Linked DNA regions of Arabidopsis thaliana. The protein of the gene in region 1 interacts with the protein of each later gene in a pairwise test. Each region holds a gene or a part of one and is shown on either strand. Other genes may lie near its edges. The genes, in order: PGPS2 and UMAMIT30.

The links.
Region 2: the proteins of PGPS2 (region 1) and UMAMIT30 interact in a protein complementation assay, tested with the Arabidopsis thaliana proteins (one large-scale study listed by BioGRID).

What each region holds. Positions count from the first base shown.
Region 1 is NC_003074.8:20,394,548-20,398,478, forward strand, and holds the start of PGPS2 (phosphatidylglycerolphosphate synthase 2), read left to right. Parts: upstream 1-2,049; 5' UTR 2,050-2,312; coding exon 2,313-2,493; intron 2,494-2,801; coding exon 2,802-2,899; intron 2,900-2,979; coding exon 2,980-3,030; intron 3,031-3,128; coding exon 3,129-3,242; intron 3,243-3,329; coding exon 3,330-3,386; intron 3,387-3,476; coding exon 3,477-3,677; 3' UTR 3,678-3,931. Other genes in the region: AT3G55020 (Ypt/Rab-GAP domain of gyp1p superfamily protein), read right to left, coding at 84-166. UniProt on the Arabidopsis thaliana protein: Catalyzes the committed step to the synthesis of the acidic phospholipids, including phosphatidylglycerol (PG). Together with PGPS1, required for the proper embryo development by providing PG accurate levels.
Region 2 is NC_003075.7:606,699-610,629, reverse strand, and holds the start of UMAMIT30 (nodulin MtN21 /EamA-like transporter family protein), read right to left. Parts: upstream 2,358-3,931; 5' UTR 2,045-2,357; coding exon 1,860-2,044; intron 1,487-1,859; coding exon 1,424-1,486; intron 1,275-1,423; coding exon 1,158-1,274; intron 1,063-1,157; coding exon 675-1,062; coding exon of another isoform or gene 639-674; exon of another isoform or gene 586-638; coding exon 434-585; intron 324-433; coding exon 143-323; 3' UTR 1-142.

The DNA.
Region 1 (3,931 bases):
AAGCTAAAGAGAGAAGAAGCGCAAGTTCAAACCAAAAAAGAGGAAGCAGAAATGTACAGGGGAAAGGGGGAAAAACGCGAAACCTCTTGTGCTCAAAGGCGACGAGAGGATTAGAAGGCTTAGAAGCAGCAGCAGCAGCAGCGGCGGCGGCGGCAACGCTCCTCATTCGTTAGCGTGAAAAAGAGATCTAACCGGTGAAGAGTTGGTGAGAGGACGAAGAAGAAGATCCAAATCTCTACGCTAGTTCATCATTACCCGAATGAAGTTGAAGCAGGAGGAGGAAGTTGCAGTAGAGAGAGAGAGGAAGTGGAGAAATCACATGGAAAGGGCGAGATTGTCGACCAAGGTTTATTACATGTGTGACTCTCTCTCTCTCTCTCTCTCTCTCTCTCTCTCTCTATTTTGACTGCGTTTCGATTCCTTGACACTGAGTCCAAAAGGTCTCTTTCATCTTTCTCTCATTTTTGTATATCTTTTTTACTCCTATCTTTTTAACTACTTACTGATTTTGTATGTAAATGTGAATTTCACAGTTGTCTTCCAATATTTTGCTATGTCAATTTTATCTTCAGATAATTTGATTGAGTTAATTATCTTATTTGTAAGACCAAAATGACAATTTGATGAAAGAAAAATCATATCCTTATATCTAATTTTTGTGTGGTTGTGCGAGTCTATATCAACCTACTTTGAAAGATAGACAAAGTTGTTATTAGATATGGGATTAAGGACATCTACGTCATGTATCATCCTTATAAGATTCAGTTTAAAGTACGAACGTTATTAATTTGATGTATGTGTAACAAGCGTGAACGTATGGTTTACCATACCGTATTCAATTTGTAGCGCGACCATGGTTGGTCTTTAATTATTAACCTCAAATAGTCGAACTTCAAAAAAAAACTAAACACATTTACCAAAATCTTTGATTGATGAGATTCATTTTTAACCCTAAAAAGATAGATATGCAAGAAAATAATTGTGGGGATTGTAATGGTTGTCGATTTGTCGGTAAAGGACCAATTGCTTTAGGAGTTGGTAAAGGACTTTTCTAGGGAATTAAATATGTCTTTAATTTTTTTTTATTTTTTTTTAATAAGTTTTTCTTAGATTCGCTAAATCCATAATCTAAGTATTCACCATATTAAATTTAATCAAGTGGGAAATTTCTATCATATATTAATTAGAATTCTTATTTTAGTTACTAATTGTTTGACTCTAATAGAACTTTCATATATGTAGTTAATAGTCTCACTCTTTTTTCCTTTCAATCACACTTGGCAAACTTAAGAGAGGTTTACATAATTGTGTTAAGAGTTTTAGGTGCAAAATCAATAGAAGATGAAACAAATATGAAAATCCAGATTTGAGAAATTATGAAGAATATCCACCAATGGCTAGTTGAATATATACACAGTTATAACTTTAGTCAATTCAATGGTTTAAATATTATAATCTACTATTTCGTGTACTGTATATTTATTTACCTATATACGTACGTGTATAATTTGGAGTTTTGTTTAGGGGCTAGTAAGGAGCTTAAATTCTTGTTTCTATAATACTCTCACGTTCTCAAACACTTGTTTACAAAACCAAATATTCGTCGGTTTGGGTAAACCAACACAAATGATTATATGGTTGTTCATTATCACAATGATTATCTTCCAAATGTGCACCAAGTTTTTGTTAGTGTTTTAGATTCAATCATGGAAGTATGGAACCACAAACGTACGTAAGAGGAAGAGTGCAGCACATAATAGAAAAGAGCAATGGCCAAAGAAGGCATTACAACGAAATGAGACTTGGGATTTGACACACATCAACTCATGCAAAAGGTTGTAGGTAGCGAATGGGTGTTGAAGATTAACTATCAAAGTGATGACTCCATCGAACAATATAAGTTGAGATTAGTAGCTATATGATATATTTTTTTTGGTGGGAAGTAGCTATATGATATTGATTCATGCAAACATACAACGAAGATATTAGTTTTACATTTTTAACAAATATATAAAATCAAAATCAGCTAAGAATTAAAGAGAAGGCCCAAAACGTGCCATTTGCTTCATTATCAATCGTCCATATCAATCCAAAGTCGACGATTATCGGCGCACGTTACGCACCCGGCTCGCTTATTTTCATAGTTAGCGCACGTTAGCATCTCTCCCAAGCTGCATTATTATTGGCCGTTGTGTGACTCCCATAAAGGCTTAGGGTTCCGGATTCAGGTCGGTGTCGCCACCGCCCTTCTTCGTGCTTCTCTTCCTTCTTTGTCGGATCGTCAGGTTTACAGATCAGCTCTTGTGGAGGATATGGGTGAAGAAGACACCGCGACGGTGGATCAGAACAGTTTCGGTGGTGGCAAAGATTCATTGCTTCGTAATCGTCATTCGTCGCCATTGCCTTCACCGACACAGCTTTCTTCTAAAGTGATTACATTGCCTACCGTATTAACCCTTGGCCGTGTAGCTGCCGTTCCGATTCTCGTCGCCAGTAAGTTTACTTTTTTCGACTCTGAATTCTGGTTGGAGTCATTGTACTTGTTCGGTGTGTGATAGGAGTCTAATCATCAGATCTAAACGAAGATGCAATTGCGATTTTTCCAGATCAGAGTTTTGTTGGTTTGAATTCGAGAAATTCGACAACTTTTTTGAAATTGAGCTTATTGCTATGTGTACTTCACTTGTTACCACTCTTCAAATTTAATCTGAATTGGATCTTTTGATGTTCAATTCCTGATTTTGATTGTTTTATCTCCCATTGCATTATCTTCATCATCTCCTTTGGTTTTTGAAATGTAGCCTTTTACGTTGATTGCTGGTGGGGAAGAACTGCTACGACAAGTATTTTCATTGCAGCAGCCATTACAGATTGGCTTGATGGATATATTGCACGGAAGGTAACTTCTTTCTTTACCCTTTCATGTTCTTCTGCATAGTTGAAATTGTAAGCTTTTAACAGTGAGACGTGCCTTTTCAGATGAGATTGGGTTCTGAATTTGGTGCATTTTTGGATCCAGTGGCAGATAAGGTCAGATACCTTCTTCCTTAGCTACCTCTATCCTCTTTATCTTTTCTCCACCAGAAAGGAATGATTTTTATCATTCTGATTTATGTCATTGGTATGCGCTTATGGTAGCAGCTACATTGATATTGTTGTGCACTAAACCAATGGTCGCCGTTGTCTTAGGACCAGTTCCATGGTTAGTGACAGTACCTTCAATCGCCATCATTGGTAGAGAGGTAAGATACAGAATTCTGATATACCGTTAAGTAAGTTTCACTTATCAGCTTTCTGTTCTAAACTAGTCGGTATACTTTTCACTGTAGATTACTATGTCTGCAGTAAGAGAATGGGCTGCATCTCAAAACGGCAAGCTTTCAGAGGTAAAGTTATCACCATCATGTGCGTTCTCTTGGATCTGTTTTCGTAAGTGTTCCTTTCCTAATCCATGGAAATGGCATTGATGTTGCTAGGCTGTTGCTGTAAATAGCTTGGGAAAGTGGAAAACTGCAACGCAGATGATAGCGCTAACCATACTTCTTGCAAGCCGGGATAGCAGTTTTGAGAGACTATTACCGTCGGGTATTGGGTTGCTCTATGTATCTGCAGGGCTCTCTATATGGTCTTTAGTTGTTTATATGAGGAAGATATGGAGAGTACTGCTAAAGAAGTAGCAACAAAAAACTCTTTTTTCGGGCTTTTTGCATTCAGTATATACACATAGAATGGAAGATTTACCTCTCTTCTTCTTGAAGAAAGCTGACTAATTTCTCTCTGGATACAAATGAAATTAGTTGGGCAAGCACTATAAGACTCTTATATGATGCTTTAGTTCTGTTTTCAACTTTGGGCACTGGGGTCGTACTCTACTTGGTTTGGTTTTGTATAATATCTCTGAATCACATTGCTCCGGCTAGCACCGAATTTT
Region 2 (3,931 bases), on another chromosome or scaffold:
ACAAGTACGAAATTGTCCAATAAAAGTATGAAATAGTCCAATAAACAATGAAAACGATCGTTATCTTCTCTTCTTCATATTTCATTTTTTGAAGACATATCGGTCATGATTCTTGTTGAACAAGCGTGTTTAGGGAAGTAGATCAAGGAGTCATCGGAATAACCAAAAGTTGACCGTTGTTAACATTTGTACGGCCTTCCTCTTCCTTTTCTTCTTCCACCGTATTGGTAGGCAACTTCATGATCTTACACTCTACTATTTGCTTACTCCTACTCCATAGAAATATATATAAACCGATCACAACCACCACAGATCCAATAACGCTACAACAATAATAAAAGTTTAGTCCATAACATGCACATGATATAATATATTCAAGAGGTTTATATAGTTAAAATATAAAGTTAATACAGTTAGATTTTTAATAATATACCTTCCCAAATAAATCTCACGATGAAGAATCAAGAAATCGAACACGGTTGCAGACATAAGCACGACAGGACTAAATGATGAGGAAACGACAGGTCCTTGTTGTTTGATACACCACGACATGCCCACCGTACACATACCTTGTGCAACCACTCCCTATAAACATATATTAACAATAGATCAATATCTGATTATTGTGTGGATCCAAATTATTTATATGTCTGACGAAACATTGTCTTATATACCGCTATAACGACGGTGATGATGGTAAGCTCATCTCTAAGGATCCAATCTTCCAAATGTCTAGTCTTAATTAAACTAAGAAGGGCGCATTGAAGCGTACCAAAGACCGACAAAATAACGGTACTCGAGTATGGACAAGGGTATTTCACGTTGATCTTGGCTTGTATAAGCATCCAAGAACTGAAAAGAACAACTCCGGTCAATAAAAAGAAACAACCTTTGATCCAATTCTCATGTCCTGTGTGGTTATTTGAATTTGCTGCTTGTTCTGGAGAGTTTGTTAATGGAATCCCTTGATACATAGTAAGAAGTAAACCTCCTACTAAGCTTATCAAAGTTCCAAGAACGACACCGTATCCTATTTTTGTTTTCAAACTTAGCTTTTCGAACCTGCAAATTTTATTTTTTCAAAATAAAAAGGTGTAAGATTACACTTGAGATGATAGCGTATATGGCACTTTTCTTTATTTTAACAATAATTGTACCCAAATATTAAAGCCATAACGAAAGTGAGGGAAGGCATTATGGCCCAGAAAGCAGATCCCAGCGTTGCAGACGTGTAGGACAGTCCAAGCAAGTAGAAATATTGCATCAAGCTCGCCCTGAAAAAGAAAGATTTATGATAAACGATTATATTTCATTTTATCAAAAACAAAAAAAAATAACATCTTACATAAACATACAAAAAAAGCAATAAAGAGGGAGAGAATAGAAAAACATAAGGATTTAGTGGATTAAAACCGAAACTTACCCAAAAAGGGCACTGACGAAAAGCTGACATGAGATGCTTAGAGTTAGCTTTGGTCTTGTTTTCCTGAACAAATCATGAAATCGAATATTTATTTTGTTAGGCACACACAATTCTGATTCTATATCCGTACATAGAAAAACATTCATGAAACTCTCTAGTATATACTCTTTATTGTTTTCAAGTTAATATTCTTTTATCTTATGAAATAAAATAAATTAAATAAAGTAATTAGCCAGAAAAAAAAAGATAGAGATGAAGCATCAAACGTGATATTTGTGTCTTCTTGTATTTTCACAACATAGTAACCAAAATTCAATTTTTTTAAAAACACTGCCACAAACTTTTAAATATTTTATTATTTTATTAAGGCATAACGAAATGTATAAAAATCTGAAAGCTACGAAAATAAAAATCAAAGAAGAAGTAGTAAACGTACCGTTCCCAAAAATAAGCGACTGGAAGAAGGAAAAGAGTAGATATACCCAAACGATAAGTAGCAATAACCATATGATTGATGCCTCCATCAAGAACTTTCTTAACTAAAGCATTAACCATTCCCGCAATCATGTTAGAAACAATTAAGACTATCATTGGTGCCCACTTTCCATCGATAAAACCCATGATTAGTATAAGTTAATTACTTAATAACCAAAATGATATCTCTTTCTTTCTCTCTCAGTCTCGCTCTCTCTCTTAGCTTTTACTCTATCCTTCTCTCTCTGTCTCTTCTTCAGAAACTTGTTTGAGTAGTGAAATATTAAGACTAGAGGTGGATATATTTATAAATAACATGGATGTTGAGTTGGAGCCCATTTCTTTCTAAAACAACAAAAAACAATGAAAATATTTAAAGAACGAGTAGGTATTGAATTCTTTTTTAACTATGAAACAAATTATAGAACTACTAAGTAAAGTTCTTTAACAGAAAAAAAAAAAAAACTATTAAGTAAAGTTATATGAAACATTTGTTTTTTGAAATTGTAGGTATAGAATATACTGTTTTTCTCGGTGGAAGGGATTAGTAATATATATATATATATATATATTTATATGTAACTGTGATGATGTATATACCACATATGAATGATGTTTCTATATGTATTAAGTTATTAACTATATATTTGTTATAAACTATGCGGGGGCATGCTAATAGTATATATTTCTAAAGATATTAACTATTAGGTAAATGATATACGGGTATGTCAAACTACAAAAAAAAAAATACAACTAAATACTAGGAAATATAAAACTAACACCACTACTCAGTAAAGTTTAGTGGTGTCAAAAAATTATAATTAATTTCTCAATATGTTAGATTTATTTAAGTCACGACTAAATAATGGTAATTAAAGACATAAAATTAAATTAATAATATGAAAATTAGTTTTTTCTTTTCTTATACAACTAAATCTCATACAAATACTCTTCTAAATTTAAAACAGTACTATAAGTTTATAACACAACAGCTTCACTAATAAGCTACCCACCCCGGTCCATAACTGAGTTTGTCGTCAACTTTTCTTATTATATTTATCGACTATATATGTAGCACTAATCGAATTAAAAATTGTTGTTTTGCTCACGTTGTTAATTACGAGTTCAGTGTAATCATTTTAACAAAAATTAAAGAAATGGATAAAACCCAATCATTTCATCAAATGAAAGCAAAGTTGCCTTTGTACCGAACAATTGAATTAATATTTCCCCCAAAAAGAAGCAAAATTATAATTTAAAACATACTTTCACTATCTCTATAAACTTATAAGGTATACGACACATTGTAAATTGACAAGTACACCAAATTCTTTTCTGTTTAAGATTTATTAATATGTAAGCTTACTGATGATAAGATAATTAGATTTCCTTTTTCGTAAATACCAGATTTTATAAGCCCAATTGGAGCCAAACAGCAAAAAATTAAAATTAAAATATGTTCGTAATGTCATAATAAACTATAAAAAATACAGTTTTTTTTAGAAAAGTTTTATCAACCAAACTCCGATGGTTTCAGATGACCTCCTTATTTTTTTTTTTTTTTGGTTCCATACTTCCAGATTAACCACATAATAAAAAAATAAAAAATAAACTTTACTACTACTTGCATCAAAACAAATTACCCAACTTTATATTGAAAGACATTCAAATAACACATGAATAATGTTTCTTCCACTGGTCACATAGTTGATTTTTTTTTTGAATATAAGAACTGTAAATATCATTTCAAAAAATGAAAGTTTAGGATTTAATTGGTCCGAGAAATTTTTGTAAAAAACATGAAAGCATAGACATTCGAGGATTAAATCATCAACGAAAACCATAAGCGGTGAAGCTTATGGCAAGGCTACATTTGAAGTTTTTTTGTTATCACACATCCTGAAGCTAATTGACAATAAACTTGTTGCCACCTGCCAAATAAAATGTTTTAATTTTGCAAGAAAAAAGATTTTCCCAATTATACTTTTAAAAGCATTAAAGTTTTGTCTCCAACTATAATATTCAGAAGGTAAA